Notamacropus eugenii: one gene and its partner. The protein of the gene in region 2 interacts with the protein of the main gene of each other region in a pairwise test. Links are inferred from orthologs where the notes say so. Each region holds a gene or a part of one and is shown on either strand. Other genes may lie near its edges.

Region 1 (7,559 bases), on a different chromosome or scaffold from region 2:
ACTTGGTTAAACTAGAGGACTTCCAAAGAGGATCAGCTAGAGTTAAGGGCCTTGAGATGACACTAGGGCTCAGCTGAAGGAACTGAGTGTTGAGCCTGGAGAAGCGTGGGGGTGAGGGGATATCCCAACTGTCTTCAGGTATCTGCTGGGGTTTAATATGTGGAAGAGGAGTCAGAAGGCAATGTTAAAGACAAAGTAATGTGGCTTCAACGGTGTGGGACATGGGGGAGGGGAGACTTCCAACCCAAAGTATCTGAAAGTAGCCTGACTGTCTGGAGAGGTAGTGAGCTCCCCATCCCTGGAGGTCTTCAAGAGGACATGGGACAACTGTTAGTCAGGGAGGCGATTCTTACTCTGATACAGGTTGGGCCAGATGATAAGGTCCCCTCCAACCCGGAGGGTCTGTGATCTTGTCTCAAGGGACCTCCTCCCCCTCCTCTGATGAGTCCTTGGAAGGGGCCTTCCTCCCCCAGCTGGACACTGAGAGAGCTCCTTCCCCCCTTCCCACACCCTCAGGTTTAAGGGTAGCAGGAAGGATGAGATCCTGGGCATTGCCAACAATCGCCTGATCCGCATCGACCTGGCCGTGGGTGATGTCATGAAGACTTGGCGATTCAGCAACATGCGCCAGTGGAATGTCAACTGGGACATCCGCCAGGTGGGAAGGGGGCTGAGGGATGGAGGGGCCACACTGGCTGCTGCCCTGCTCTCTCTGCTCCCAATCACACGTTGGGGTCTGGCCCGCAGGTGGCCATTGAATTTGACGAGCACATCAACGTAGCCTTCAGCTGTGTGTCCGCCGGCTGCCGAATCCTGCATGAGTACATCGGTGGCTACATTTTCCTGTCCACCCGGGAGCGCGCCCGAGGCGAGGAACTGGATGAGGAACTCTTCCTGCAGCTCACAGGGGGTCATGAAGCCTTCTGAGACGCCCAGAGGGCCTTCTCCATCCCCCACTGTCTCTCACTGTCACTGGCTCTCTCACAACAGCTTCCCCTCACCCCATTTACCCTCTCCCCCAACACACACACTGTAACCATCACTCCTGGTGCCCTCTTGGGGAGGCCAAGCCTCGCCCCATGTCTTGTTCCTCCCCACCAGGGGCTACCCAAAGGCTGCTCATCCCTGCCTAGGGTGTTGGTGTTCTCTTGCTCTACAAATGACTGAGGCAAGCTGAGGGCCCCAGGATCCAACTGCCTTCTGACTGCCACACTCCAGGGCAATCTTTGGACTCGGGACTGCAGAGATGCTGCGATACAGCCCTAGAAAGATTTGCTTTGTTTGTTAGTTTTTATTTGTCTTTTTATAAATAAATATTTCCTACTTGGACACTCCCCATATTTCTTCTTCAGCTGTTGGTTGAGGCACCCTGGTGACTGCTCTGACCCTCTGTCTCCTCTTCAGCCAGAGAAAGAGGCCTCCCTGCAGCAGGGAAAGGGTTAGGATAAGGAGAGGGGAGATGATGCTCAGGGTGGGAAATGGAGGTGGTGGAAGCAGGCAGAAAGGAGTCTGAGATCAACAGGCCATGGCCCACCCTCAGAGCCTGGCTTAGGGACCTGGAAATCCAAAGAGGAGGGCACTCACTTGGAGAGCCCAGCTGTAGGGCTTCTTTGAAGTACTTGGGAAGCAAGAAACCCTTGGCATCCCCCGGAGTCAGGATCACCCCATTGGCTGAGCGGAAGAACAGGATTCCCTCTGTGGGGAAGGGTCAGACTTCAGGCTGTGTCCTCCTGCCCTCTCCCCCATCCTCCTCCTGGCCAGCCAAACTCACCGGCCAGTGCCAAGGGTCCATTGATGAATACGGCCACCTCACAGTCCTGCCGCATGCCTAAGGGACAGAGTCACAAGTGGCACCAAGGCACCCCGGGATTCTCCCAATGCTCTGGGAAGGGGTTGGAGTATGGTCTACTAACCACTGAGGACATGGGGTTCTCCAGGCAGGCCGGGGGACAGGTGAATGTGGGTTCTCCCACGACGAGACAGACCCTCCTGCCGGATGGAGGGCCAGTGGCGCCGGTACGTTCCATGGACAAGAATGGGAGGTAGGTCTTGTGGGGTTCTTAGGGGTGTCAGCTCCAGGTCAGTCACCTGCCATGAGGAACAATGAGGGGGTCGCTTCAAAATCTGGGGGTAGCCCTTATCCTCCCTAATTTAACTACCACCTTTTCCTTGAAACAGTCCTGGGAAATACATAGTATGGGAATTATAGCTGTCACTTTACAGACAAGGAAACTGAGGCAGAGACACTTTCCCAACTTCACAAAGTGAGGAAAGTCTTTGAGCTAAGATTCGATCCTAGATCAGAGATTTAGAGCTAGAGAGGGCCTGAAAATCCACTGAGTCCAACCTCCTGTTTTTGCAAGAGAGGAAACTAAGGCACAGAGAGTTAAGGGAGTGCCCAGAGTCACACAGTTACAAGAAACATCATTCTGGTCCTTCTGACTCCAAGTCTAGAACCTACTGGGAGCAAAGCCCTGAGAGCCCTGAACCAGACAGTGGGACAGCAAAGACAGGGAGCCTCCATTCTCCCGGACAGATTCTCTCCACTCCCCCCGTGCTCTCTCCTGCCCCTTCACTCCATCTCCCTCTTCCCCTGCATCCCCCCACATCCAATCCACCTCCTAAGTGCTCACACACAGACGCACACACAGACACACACACACATACACACATCCAATCTGCCCCCTATGTGTGCACACACGCACACACACATGCAAGCAAACACACAAGCCCCCAAGGCTGAGTATCTACCTGCAAGGAGTGACCCTGGTTGGCTCGAATAAAGCCCCAGGAGCCTGGGGGCCCAGGGTGCCAGGCAAACCTCTGCTTTTCATTGGTTTCCACCACACGGTGCACATCATCCAGTGAGAAGCCCTGGAACTGTGGCAGCTGCAGAAGGGCATCCAGGGGCACAAAGCCGTCTGTGAGGGAAGAATACAAGTCCCATCTCTTGCCCAGAACTGGGCCCACACTTGATCCATCCACATTTATTAAGCACTGTGGGCACACAGAAGGCATCTGATGAATGCTCAGCTGTCCACCCCTCCTCCCAGCTGACCCATCAGGGCACTGTAACTGGCCAAGTTGGGGACAGGCTGCAGAGGCTGAGGAGGGGGTTTAGAGTAGGCCTTTCCTGCACTCACTGACACTTATGTAACTTTCTACAGAGCATCTCCTGCTCGGCCTCTCATCTAACCCTCCCAGCAGCCCTGGGGATGGGAGCTAACACAGGAGGAAACTGAGGCTAAGTCATTTGCCCAGTCACCCCGTCACCCAGTGTCTAAAGGCAGGATTTGAGTGGAAATCTTGGCTTCTGATCTAAACCCTTGCCACCTATGCAATCTCTGTTCCCCTTGTAGGGCAGCAGGATTCATTCCATTGATAGCCTGTGTCATTATGGCTCCTGTGGGGGCACCACCACCTCCTAGGCCTCCCTCTGACCCTGAGGCTTCTGCCACAGCCTTCTCATGCTCAAGGCTTACCTGAGCCAATGGGCAGCCCCATCTTAACAGCTCCATGACGCAGGGCATAGGACAGAGCCTTGGATAGCCGTACATCTGGGTCCTGCAACAGCCCAAATGCCAACAAAGTTTCTTCCTTTTTCCACCAAAGGTGCCCAAACCCTCCTGCTCCCCAAAAAGCCTGCTGGATAGCAGTCACTGTGGAAAGACCCCTCCCCTGATGTGCCCCAGAGCTGGGGGGGAGGGGAAGTGTCCATCAGTCCTTGAACCTGTAGGCCCCCCAGGGCAGGCCTGTTGGACTAGCTGCTCTGGCTCTGAGAATCTTAGCCCCCCCACCCCCACCCTGCCTTTGGGCAGAGAAGCCACTTCCACCAACTGCTCTCTTCAGTTCAGCCACCAGTGGAGTCCATGGGCTGTCACCTGTTCTCGGGGTCTGCGGGCTCTTCTTCCCCTGGGCCCAGCTTGCTGGGAGGTCTGTCCCACAGAGGGGTTCATGCCCCTCACTCTTCCAGGAACCTAGGAACACAGGATTTAGAGCTATGAGATAATATATGAGATATATACTACCTGGTCTGTCTACCTCATTTAACAGAACAGGAAACTGAGACCCAGAAAGTGAAAGAAAATTGTCCAAAGTCACAGAGGTCATCTGGGGCACAGCCAAGACTCAGAGACCAAGATTAGGACTCCCAATACAAGGTATTTTCAGCTCTATCCCATACCAGGGCTGAAGGGAGAGATGGGGGGCTGCCCTCTCCCCATTCCCGTTGCAACCTGGCTGTGAGTTGGGGGAACCCTGGGCAGGGTAGAACTGAGGCTAGGGCAGAGACCCCAGAGATCAGAAAGGCAACAGGGCCCAGTGCCCCCAGGGCTTCAGTTTCCCCATCTAGAAAGGGGGGGGTGGCGTGGAACAGATCATCCCCAAGGGCCTGGAAATCTAGTAGGGGCCAATCCTCACCAGCCCCGCCAAGTGCCTGCCCACCGGATCTGGGCAGGGAGTGAGCCAATGAGGGATGGGGGACGCAAGGAGTGAGGCTCTCCTTCCGCTCTCGTTAAGGGAGGGGAGGAGCTAGACCCAGCTGAGCTGGAGGCAGGAAGCGGGGCAACGGTAACTGTAACAGCGATTGTAACCGTAGCGGCAGCAGCCACGACTGCGAGCTGCACACAGAGTCAGTGCTGGACTGAGGCTAGGGACATCCAGGGACACCACCAAAGGCCGGCAGTTGGCAGGAGATGCCCTGCAGGGCAGTGGTAACTCTGCCTCATTTCCCTCATCCAGACCTTGCATTCCCACCACCAGCCTCGTCCCCTCCATTCTATGGATCCCGAGGTCTCCCTGCTTGTCCAATGCCCACCGGGCGGGCTGGCTGAAGAGCAGGTACGGGCAGAGTTGAACCCAGCTTATGACCGGCGCCCACTGCCCGGGGGGGAGGACTCCATCACTGCCATTTGGGATGCCCGCCGGCAGGCCCAGCCCTGGCTCTTCAACGCTCCCAAGTTTCGACTGCACTCGGCAGTCCTGGGGCCCCCTGACCCTGGAGGACCCTGTCTGACGCTGCGTATGGGCCTCACTTCCTACCAGGACTTCCTAGGCACCAACTGGGCTAGCTCGGCAAGCAGGCTGCGATGCCAGGGGAAAACTGACTGGGGAGATGCCCAGGCCTACTTAGCAGACCCACTGGGAGTGGGTGCCATGCTGGGCACTTCAGATGGTTTCCTGGTCTTTCTTCGCCGGTCTCTGAGGGTGGCTGAGGCCCCTGGGCTGATAGATGTGCCAGGGGGGCATCCTGAACCTCAGGTGAGCACCTACATCCTGAAGAGTCAGGCAAAGATAGCCACTGGCCTTCTAGAGCCCAAACAAGCCAGGAACTAGAAGTCTTTCAGTTGAGGAAACTGAGGCAGACAGGGTCACACACATAGTAAGTATTTGAGGCAAGATTTGAACTCAGATCTTCCTGACTTCAAGCCCAATGTGCCCCCTTGCTGCCCACCAGAGGAGTTTCTATTTGATACTTTTGGTAATAGGGAGCTGTTGAAAGTTACTGAGAACAGGATGGGGGCATCATGACCAGACCTGGGTTTTCAGAAAATCCCTTTGGTGACTGAGTGGAGGATGGGTTGGAGTGGCAAAAGGCTTGAGGCAGACAAACACCCCACCCCACAGCAGCTACTGCAATAGTCCAGGGGTGAGGTGGTGGGATGGTGAGAGTCAACACTACGGTGATAACGCTATGTAAACAGAGAGAGCGGGGAAGGTTGTAAGAGAGACTGTGGAGGAAGAAACAGAATTTAGCAATTGGTTAGCTATTTGGATTTGGGGTGAGAATGAGGAGTGTCATAGATGACCCACGAGGCTCCTGAACCTGGATAACTTAAAAGATGTTGGTGACTCAGCAAAAACAGGGAAGTGGAGGCGGTAAGTATGTCTTAAATCCCTACTGTGTGCTGGGCACTGAGCCAACAAGTATTTCTTAAATGACTACTGTGTGCTAGGCACCATGCTAAGTGGTAGGTCTAGAGGAGTGATGAGTTCCATTCTGGGGATGTTGCATCTACTGGCTAAGGGGCATTCACTCAAATGTCCAATGAGGGACCAGAGGGCTGGAGAGCGGCTAGGGTGAGTGATGAACTTCAAAGAAGGGGAGAACAGAATGTGTTCAGTGGAGAAAGGAGGAGCGATCTAGGACTGTGACTAGCAGGGCTGGGGGGATCTGAGGAAGGTTTTGGAAGGAGAGCAGCCCCTGGGGAGGTGTGCAGGCAGCCACGGAGCGGGGAGAGTAGCCATGAGGCACGGTTGCCTCGCTCACAATTGGCTCTTTTGACCTGTTCATGTGTTTATCCGTTTTGCTGAGCTGATGATTTTTCTTCTTTATTTGATGAGTCTATGGCTAAAGAGCTGAGGTCAGAGGAGAGAAGAGCCCTCCTGGCTGTGTGGAGCTCTAGGCAGCTCTCTGAGACTTAGTGGCCTGCATTGCCTGCAAGAGCTTCTTCAACCAGGAAATCCCAGGTCCATTCTCTATCCCTTTGATTCTTTGTTGCCAGAAACCAATGGCTTATGAGGGAGTTATGTGAAAAGGAAGGGTGTGTGAAACGCAAAGTCAAAGCCAGGCCTAGAGCCTCAGGTCTCCTGGTCTCTAGAGCTTGTCTCTTTTCTGGTCAGCCTGTTGCCCTTCCTCTGATGTGCTTCAGTGGGGCTGGGACAAAGGGAGTAGAGCAAGGCCGGGTCCACCTGGCAAGTCTTCTTGGAGCTGCGGACTTCAGCCTGAGAGGCTAGGCTGCCCTGGGGAGGGGAGCGAGCTGAGGCTGCCTCCTTGTAGGCCCTGTTTCCTGGGGAGATGCCCCGGCACGAGGATCTGCCCGAGGACCTGCTGGTTCCGGAGCTGTTCTCCTCCATCTTGCAGGAGATCCGAGATGAGGTGAGGTGCTGAGCCTGGGGCTGGGAGGATGTGGAGAGTGGGGAGAGCAGGAGCTGAGGCAATGACCCCTGACCTCCGACTCTACCCCCACCAGGTAAATGTGCCACTATCCACTTTGAGCCATCCCCTCCTTCTGGGCATTGCCCGAAATGAGACCAGTGCAGGAAGAGCCAGTGCTGAATTCTATGTCAGGTAAGTGGACATCATATGGGGAACTGTGCTTCCTTCTTCTGAGGGACAGAATTAGAAGTAGGAATAGGCAAACTAGGGAGGGGATCAGGGCACAAACATTTTAAAATGTGACTTTTTTTAGAAGGTCTTATTTTTAATACAACCAAATCCTGCTGTGTGTGAACTACCAGGCTTTCTTCTGCCATCAGCCAGATTCCACTTTTCAGGGAAAGCTTGATGTCCCTAGGGGCACAGCATCATAGAAGGGCTCTTCTAGGAGAGGCCTGAAGTCCTGGGCTTGGAAAATTGAGATCTGGGCACCTGGAGCCTCAGGGCAGGATGGAGCTTGGGACCCCTGGCCAGAGTGGGTCTGCCCTTCTCCCAGAAGCTTGTCTCTCCCCCTCCTCCTTTAGCTGTAGCCTGACCTCTGAGCAGGTGAAGACCCTCTATATGACCGGAGGACCGGAAGCTCATGAGTCCACTGGAATCATCTTCATGGAAACGCAGGTGA
Region 2 (7,432 bases):
GCCTCTGAAATCCTCCCCTGGAAGCTCTAACTGAAAATCAAAAACATATGTTTCTACCACTGCCGCAGCCACGAGTGTGGGCCTCGAATGTCGCCCTGCTCCTGACCTCACCTGAAAGGGGGGCAGAGGGAATGACACTAGTTCTGCAGGGAGTAGGGGGGCCTGGGACATACCATGACGTAGTGACGCTGCATCTCCGACTTCTCACTGGCCAGCTTGTCACACTCCAGTTTCAGGCTTTGGAAAGAGAAAAACAGGAGGAGGCCTGTCTGTGGGCGCCATTTACAAAGCACTCCCTGATCTACAATGGTTTGCAAAGCAGGCCTCCTGTTTATAAAGTGTCTTACTGGTTTACAAAGCACTTCATGGGGTCTGGAGAAACTTAGAGTGAATTCAGAATGTGGGCAAGGGAAAGGGGAAGGAGAAACCCCCCACAAGCCAGTGGGGTCTGAGCCAAGGATCTATTGGATCTCCAGCAGGAGAACAACAGCAGGCCAAGCCTCTGAAGGCTTTCCTGGCATCAGAGATGGGTTCCTGAGCTCAAAAGCACCTGATGCTCAAGTAGATGGGAGGGAAGCAGCAACCCCTCCTACAGGGGCCCGGGGGACCCTCACTCCCCAGCCCAGGCCCTCCCATTTCTTTATTTAGAAATCAAAAAAGCCTCATTTCCATGTTATCCGGTGCAATAAACAAGCCCAGTCTCTGGGGGCCCCTCCCAGGCTCTAGAGGGCCATAATTCTTGGCCTTGGGGGGAAGAGAGGAGAGGAAGCTAGAGCAGGCAGTAGGACACTGCTGTGTTGGGAAAGCCACATCTTACCCCCTCCCCAAAAATTTTTTTAACAGAAGGAAGGAAAGAAATTCTATTACCCTTCTGGAAAATAATAACCCCTCATCAATTTCCTGGTAATAAAAATGGGGAGAGGGCAGCCTTCTATTGGTTAATCTACTTAAATTCAATAAACCAGGTGATTCTAGAAGCCAGCAGGGAGACATCTTCAGTTCTGGCCCGACCCAATTTGGCATAACCAGGGGTGGGGGGAGGGGAAGTATGGTTAATCATAATTATTTCATTTCTCTAATGCTTTCAGGTCTCCAAAATGCTTTTCTCAACCCAAAAAGGAGGGGGTATAAAGATTATTATACCACCTCCATCTAAAAGATGGGGAAAATAAGGCCTAGGAAGGGAGGAGCTTGTGCAAGGCCACAGACCTTGAACATCAGACCTCCTGGAAAAGGGAAGCTGAACTCATACTCTACCCCAGCCCCATTTTTCCACCTCAGGGACTCATCCTATTTCCTGCCTAGGACATCCCAAAGCCCACTGTCTCCACCTTCCTTCCCTACAAACAAGGCCCTGATGTCCCTAGACTCATAGGCAAGCTGCTGCACAAAAGGTGGGCCAGAAGATGAGGTCAGGCCTGGGAGTGGAAAGGGAGGGGAGATCTCAAGTGGAACTGAGGCGTGAGCCTGGGACTGATGGGGGTAGCAGAAAGGTCAGCTCAGGGGGCATTCACTCCCGCCAGCCTTGGAAAGCAAGGAAGGTTTGGGTCAGATAGGAGAGCCATCCCCAGGCAGCCGGTTCTAAGAATAGCAACATTTCATATTTATATAATGTTCTACACAATGGCCAGGGACCTTACAAGGGAGTCGCCAGGAAGAGGCAGAGAAGGACCTAGGCTCAGATTCCTACTCTGTTACTCTACATGACTGTGGGCAAGTCATTTAGCCACAGGCTTCATCTCTGTAAAAGTGAGAAGGGGGTCAGGCGAGATGGCTTCTAAGTTCTGAATCTATTAAATGAGGCAACTGCCGCCAGGGAGGTGGAAGAGATTCACCAAGGTCACAAAGGAGATGCTGTTAGAGCTAAATAAAAAATCTGGGTTCCCTATCAATAAATTCAAATCCTAGAATCGGGAAAGACTTCTGGTGGTCACCTAGTGCGTACCCCCAGAAATGGGGAAGCCCAAGCTCGGAGACAGGACTCGGCCAAGGTCACACACACTCAAGGTGTTGGCCTCCTCTTGGGATCCTAGCACAGGGTTCTGCTTAGGCAGGGAGGGGAGGAGAGCAGGGTACCCCGGCAGTCCCGGGCTCCCCAAGGGGGCTCACCTGTGGTACTGTGCTTGTAGGAGCTGAAATTCATCTTTGATCCGGTCACAGGAATCTGAGGTCGTGAACTTTAGCTGCTGGGGCAGGTGTGAGGAGCCCTTGAGGAAGGTTAACAGGGAAGGTTAGGGCACAGCCTCCCCCCACCCCGGCCATGTGGGGGAGGCTGGAGTCCAGGTTCGGCCAGAAGACTGTTCAGGAATCTGAGCATTCCCCAGGCAGAACCTCTCTCCCCGGGGCCTGAGGAAAGGATGGGATTGGCTTGGGGGGGGCACACGGTGGGAGCCCCCTCCTCCAGCCCAGCCTCCCTCCGGGCTGCTCCCACCATCCTCATCCTCTCCTCCTCAGGGCACTTCCTGGGCCCGGCCTGCCCCGACAGGGCTGATGTTTACATACTCAGCTCCCGCCCCCCCATTTCCTGCTCCCCCCCACAGGGCCATGCACATGGAGGGGGGGTTATTGCAGCAGGGCCGCCCCATCATTGTTTTAGAATGAAAAAAATCAAGCCTTTTTTTCCCGATCGCAGACCGTCCCCCCTCCATCCCTGGGCCCCCCACTTCCCCGCGGGGCCCCGGAAGGGGGATTAGAAGCCAGAGAAGGGGCCGGGGAATCGTCACGAGGGGGGTGGCGACGTTACCACCGGGGGTCGCATTTTAAAGGGGCGCAGCCGAGGAAGCAGCGGGGCCCCAGGGGGCGGCCCCACCCCAGCCCCCCCGCCGCGCCGATCTCCGCCGCTCCCCCGCCCCCTTACCGAGTGCCTGCTTTGTGGAAACATCATGTCACTCGTGGGGGGCGGGCAGTGAGGGGAGGGGGGAGGGCTGCGGGCCGAGGGAAGGCAGAGGCCGCCGCACCAACGACGACGCCCCCGCCGCCGCCTCCTCCCCGCCGCGGGCCCGCTCCGGCCCCGGCCCGACTCCTCGGCCCCGGCCGCCGCCGCCGCCTTTGTCCCCGCCCCGGCGCCGCCGCTCAGCGCCGCCGCAGCGCGCCCCGGCCTCCCGCCGCCTCCTCCGGGCCGCCCGCCCTCCGCCGCCGGGCCCGCTCCCGCTCCGGGCCGCTTCCTGCCTCCTGCGGCCCTCCCGGGCTGCCGCTCCTATTGTCTAATGGCGGCCGCCGGCGGCCGGGGGCGGGGGCGCGGGGGAGGGGGGCTGCGGCAGCAGCGGCAGCAGCAGCTCCGGCCTCGGCTCCCTCGGTCCGGCTCCGGCCTCAGCCGAGCACCAGCAGCACCACCTGCTGCCGCCGAGCCCGCGGCCTGCACTGGGGCGCGCGCGCGGGGAGGGGGCGCGTGCGCGTGCGCGGAGGGCGCGTGCGCGGAGGGGCGCGCCCCCGCCGCCGAGCTCCGCGGCCCCGCCGCCCCGCGCCCGCGCTCGGGCCTCGGCTCCGGCCCCGGCCCCGGCTCCAGCCCGGGCCCCAGGTCCTCGAGCCGCCGCCGCCGCCTCTTCCCTAACCCCGGGGTGCCAGGTTCTCTGCTCCCCCACGCGCCCCCCGCGGCCTCGGACGCCCAGGCCTCGTTCTCACCCCGCCCCCACCCTCCTGCCCACACTCGCAGCGTTCTCCCCGCCTCCCTTCCCTCCCCTTCCCTGACCTCATTCGGAGCCGGCTTCCCCTCCCCCTCCCCTTCCTCCCTCCCCCTCCCCTTCCTCCCTCCCCCTCCCCTTCCTCCCTCCCCGTCCCTCTCTCCTCTCCCTCCCCTTCCTCCCTCCCCGTCCCTCTCTCCTCTCCCTCCCCTTCCTCCCTCCCCCTCCCTCTCTCCTCTCCCTCCCCTTCCTCCCTCCCTCTCCCCTTCCTCCCTCCCCCTCCCTCTCTCCTCTCCCTCCCTCTCCTCCTCTCCCTGTCTCACCGTCTCCTGTCTCCCCTCCCTTTCCCTCCCTTCTCTCCCCCCTCTCCTCTCCCTCCCCCCTCTCCTCTCCCCTCCCTCTCCTCTCCCCCCCCTCTCCTCTCCCTCCCCTTCCTCCCTCCCCCTCCCCTTCCTCCCTCCCTCTCCCCTTCCTCCCTCCCCCTCCCTCTCTCCTCCCCCTCCCCTTCCTCCCTCCCCCTCCCTCTCTCCTCTCCCTACCTCTCCTCCTCTCCCTGTCTCACCGTCTCCTGTCTCCCCTCCCTTTCCCTCCCTTCTCTCCCCCCTCTCCTCTCCCTCCCCCCTCTCCTCTCCCTCCCCTTCCTCCCTCCTCCTCCCCTTCCTCCCTCTCCCTCCCCTTCCTCCCTCCCCGTCCCTCTCTCCTCTCCCTCCCCTTCCTCCCTCCCCCTCCCTCTCTCCTCTCCCTCCCCTTCCTCCCTCCCTCTCCCCTTCCTCCCTCCCCCTCCCTCCCTTCTCTCCCCCCTCTCCTCTCCCTCCCCCCTCTCCTCTCCCCTCCCTCTCCTCTCCTCCCCCTCTCCTCTCCCTCCCCTTCCTCCCTCCCCCTCCCCTTCCTCCCTCCCTCTCCCCTTCCTCCCTCCCCCTCCCTCTCTCCTCCCCCTCCCCTTCCTCCCTCCTCCTCCCTCTCTCCTCTCCCTACCTCTCCTCCTCTCCCTGTCTCACCGTCTCCTGTCTCCCCTCCCTTTCCCTCCCTTCTCTCCCCCCTCTCCTCTCCCTCCCCCCTCTCCTCTCCTTCCCCCCTCTCCTCTCCCCTCCCTCTCCTCTCCCCCCCCTCCTCTCCCTCCCCTTCCTCCCTCCCCCTCCCCTTCCTCCCTCCCTCTCCCTCTCTCCTCCCCCTCCCCTTCCTCCCTCCCCCTCCCTCTCTCCTCTCCCTCCCTCTCCTCCTCTCCCTGTCTCACCATCTCCTGTCTCCCCTCCCTTTCCCTCCCTTCTCTCCACCCTCTCTCCCATCCCCCTTGCCCCCCTGCCCTTTCCTTTCCCTCTCTCCATCTCCTGATTGGGGTAGAATCCAGGCATCCCAGTGTCTTTGTTCGTGAGACCTGCAGGTTTTCTAGTATCACATTTTCACAGACCACACATCGAGCCTTAAAGAGGGGAAAGGACTTCTCCAAGGTCACAACATAAAAGTTAGCAGTGGGGGAATGTGGTCTCCAGACTCTCAGCCTAGGCTGTCTCAGGCACATCCCCCAAGCCCTGCGTCCTAGATCAGGCAGCTCCCTACATGACACCCCATCCTTTCTCCCTCCCTAGGTTGCAGTTTTTGTCTCCCAGTGTTAATATGAAGAATATAACAGGGCCTTAGAGCTGGAAGAGACCTTAGATTATGGAAAGAATACAAAGTTAGAGCTGATAAAGCCCTGAGAACGCAGAATGTTGGAGCTGGGAGGCAGGGTCCAACTCCCTCCTCTCACAGATAGGGTCCCAGGAGAGGGAAAGGATAATAATAACTCATATTTAGGCACTGAACACACATCTATTATCTCCTTTGATCTTTAGTAGCAACCAGGTGAGAAATAGATACTACAGGCTTCACTCCCATTTTATAGACAAAGTCAGTGAGGTCCAGAATGGGAAAGGGATTTGATTTGCTTGTGCTCAAGACATGAACATCAGAGAGATTTAGATGAAGGTCCTTCTGCTGGGGGTGTGCAGCACTCTCTTTATTAGACTAGGGTTAGATTAGGGTTAGCTTTAGGGCCTGTCCTGAGATTTGCATAAGGTAAACAGGTCTAGACAGGGATACATCAGGACACTTACCTTGCCTCCCACTCCAGACATTATGTCTGGTTTCTCCTCCCTAAAATTTAAGTTTAGGGCTCATTCTCAGAAGCTCCCCTTCCGTAGGTCCCACTAATAGATATCTTAAGAGACAAGGGGTTTGGCCTGTGTTGGAGGAGACCAAAAACCTCTCTCTTTAGCCTTTATCAGATTTTTTTTTTCCTGTCTGCCTGGGCCCACAGTTACAAATTAAATTGGCTTCCTGGCAGGAGCCCCCTGACACCACTATGGCTGGCTGCTAATAGATGGGTCCCGGGCTGGCTTGGAGCAGAGCAGACCCTTTAATCAGAAATTAGCAAATGTGGCATACTGCCTAGAATGGCTCCCAGAGCCCCAACTCAGGGAACCTGACAGGGGAGGGATGCCGCATGACCTGCCTCAGTTTCCCAAGGACAGAGGGCTTTCTCTGTTTAACCTGTTCTAAACTTCTTTGCACCTTGAACTCCAGTTGGAGGCTCCTGTCTCTGCCTCCCTCCCTGAGCTAAGAGATCTTTACCTCAAGCAGATTCCCTTTTTCCCTTCCTCTAAGTCTGCTCATCATCCAGGGAATTCTAGTGGAGGGACCAGACCAAGTCCGCAAGTCCCACCTCTTCCTTTTCATCCTATCTCCGGTTTCTGCAAACTCTAGGCAGCAAGAGGAAAGCTTTTTCTGTGGTTTATATAAACATATATTAAATGTCTTACTGTGTGCAGACGTGCAGTTTAGCTAAGACAGAGTCCCAACCCTTCTGGGCCTCACGTCTAGGTAGGGGGTAAACCTTTATTTGTGTCTTTGATTGCTTTGGCACTTTTGTGAAACTTACCGGACCCCTTTTCAGAATAATGTTTGTAAATACATAAAACAAAATATGTAGGATTACAAAGAAACCAATTATAATGAAATAGTTGTCCTACTATTTAAAAAAAAACAAATTCATGGACTCAAATTTAAAACCTCATGGTCTAGTGAGAAGATCTGACATTCAGATAAGAATACAGAGTGGTCTATGAAAAATCCCTTGGAGCAGGGCTCTTAATTCTTTTCTGTGGGTCCTAGACCCCTTTGGCAGTCTGGTGAAGCCTATGGACCTCTTTTCAAAAGAAAGTCTCTAAATAATTGAAAGAAATGTTAAATTTTAGTTAGAGGTCAGAGATAATAAAGATGTAATTTCTTTCCCATCCAAGTTCACAGACCTCCTGAAATCTATCCAGCTCCATGGACTTGCTGCCTTTGAAAGTTACAAAATACCCTTCTGTGTAGTCTAATGGGAAAAGCCTGTTACTGAAGGGGTACCATGAGTAAAGGCGCAGAAATGGGGAAGGCAAAGGAATATTGGTCCATTTTGGCTGTGTGCATGGAGAGGAGTAACCTGAGCACCTGCTGACCAGATCATGAAGGGCCCTGAGTGGCAGGCAAAGAAATTTGTATTTTACTCCTTGGGTATCTAAGTAGGCCCAGTGCATAGAGCATCATCAGCCCTGGTGTAAAGGGAACCTGAATTCAAATGTAGCCTCAGACACTTATTAGCTGTGTGACCTTGGTTAAGTCACTTAACCCTGATTGCCTTTAAAGAGTGGGGGGAGTCAGTGAAGATTTTTGAACAGAGTGGCATGACCAGATCTATGTGTAAGGAGAGGGATGGGAGTGAAACAGACATTTATTAAGCACCTATTATGGCACATAATCTCATTTTCTCTTCCTAGCTATAGTACTCTTTA

The links.
Region 1: the proteins of TLE5 (region 2) and NUDT22 interact in binary tests that used the Homo sapiens proteins (3 or more experiments, as listed by UniProt). The two-hybrid records come from large-scale screens. The link is inferred for Notamacropus eugenii from reciprocal best matches to the Homo sapiens genes TLE5 and NUDT22.

The regions. Positions count from the first base shown.
Region 1 is NC_092873.1:17,062,097-17,069,655, forward strand, and holds the start of NUDT22 (uridine diphosphate glucose pyrophosphatase NUDT22), read left to right. Parts: upstream 1-4,512; 5' UTR 4,513-4,779; coding exon 4,780-5,259; intron 5,260-6,778; coding exon 6,779-6,877; intron 6,878-6,971; coding exon 6,972-7,069; intron 7,070-7,461; coding exon 7,462-7,555; intron 7,556-7,559. Other genes in the region: FERMT3 (fermitin family homolog 3), read left to right, coding at 517-658, 748-927; TRPT1 (tRNA 2'-phosphotransferase 1), read right to left, coding at 1,349-1,422, 1,585-1,695, 1,772-1,828, 1,914-2,088, 2,752-2,921, 3,483-3,564, 3,882-3,956. UniProt on the Homo sapiens protein: Hydrolyzes UDP-glucose to glucose 1-phosphate and UMP and UDP-galactose to galactose 1-phosphate and UMP. Preferred substrate is UDP-glucose.
Region 2 is NC_092875.1:68,797,529-68,804,960, reverse strand, and holds the start of TLE5 (TLE family member 5), read right to left. Parts: upstream 3,046-7,432; 5' UTR 2,885-3,045; coding exon 2,858-2,884; intron 2,208-2,857; coding exon 2,110-2,207; intron 238-2,109; coding exon 174-237; intron 1-173. UniProt on the Homo sapiens protein: Transcriptional corepressor. Acts as a dominant repressor towards other family members. Inhibits NF-kappa-B-regulated gene expression. May be required for the initiation and maintenance of the differentiated state.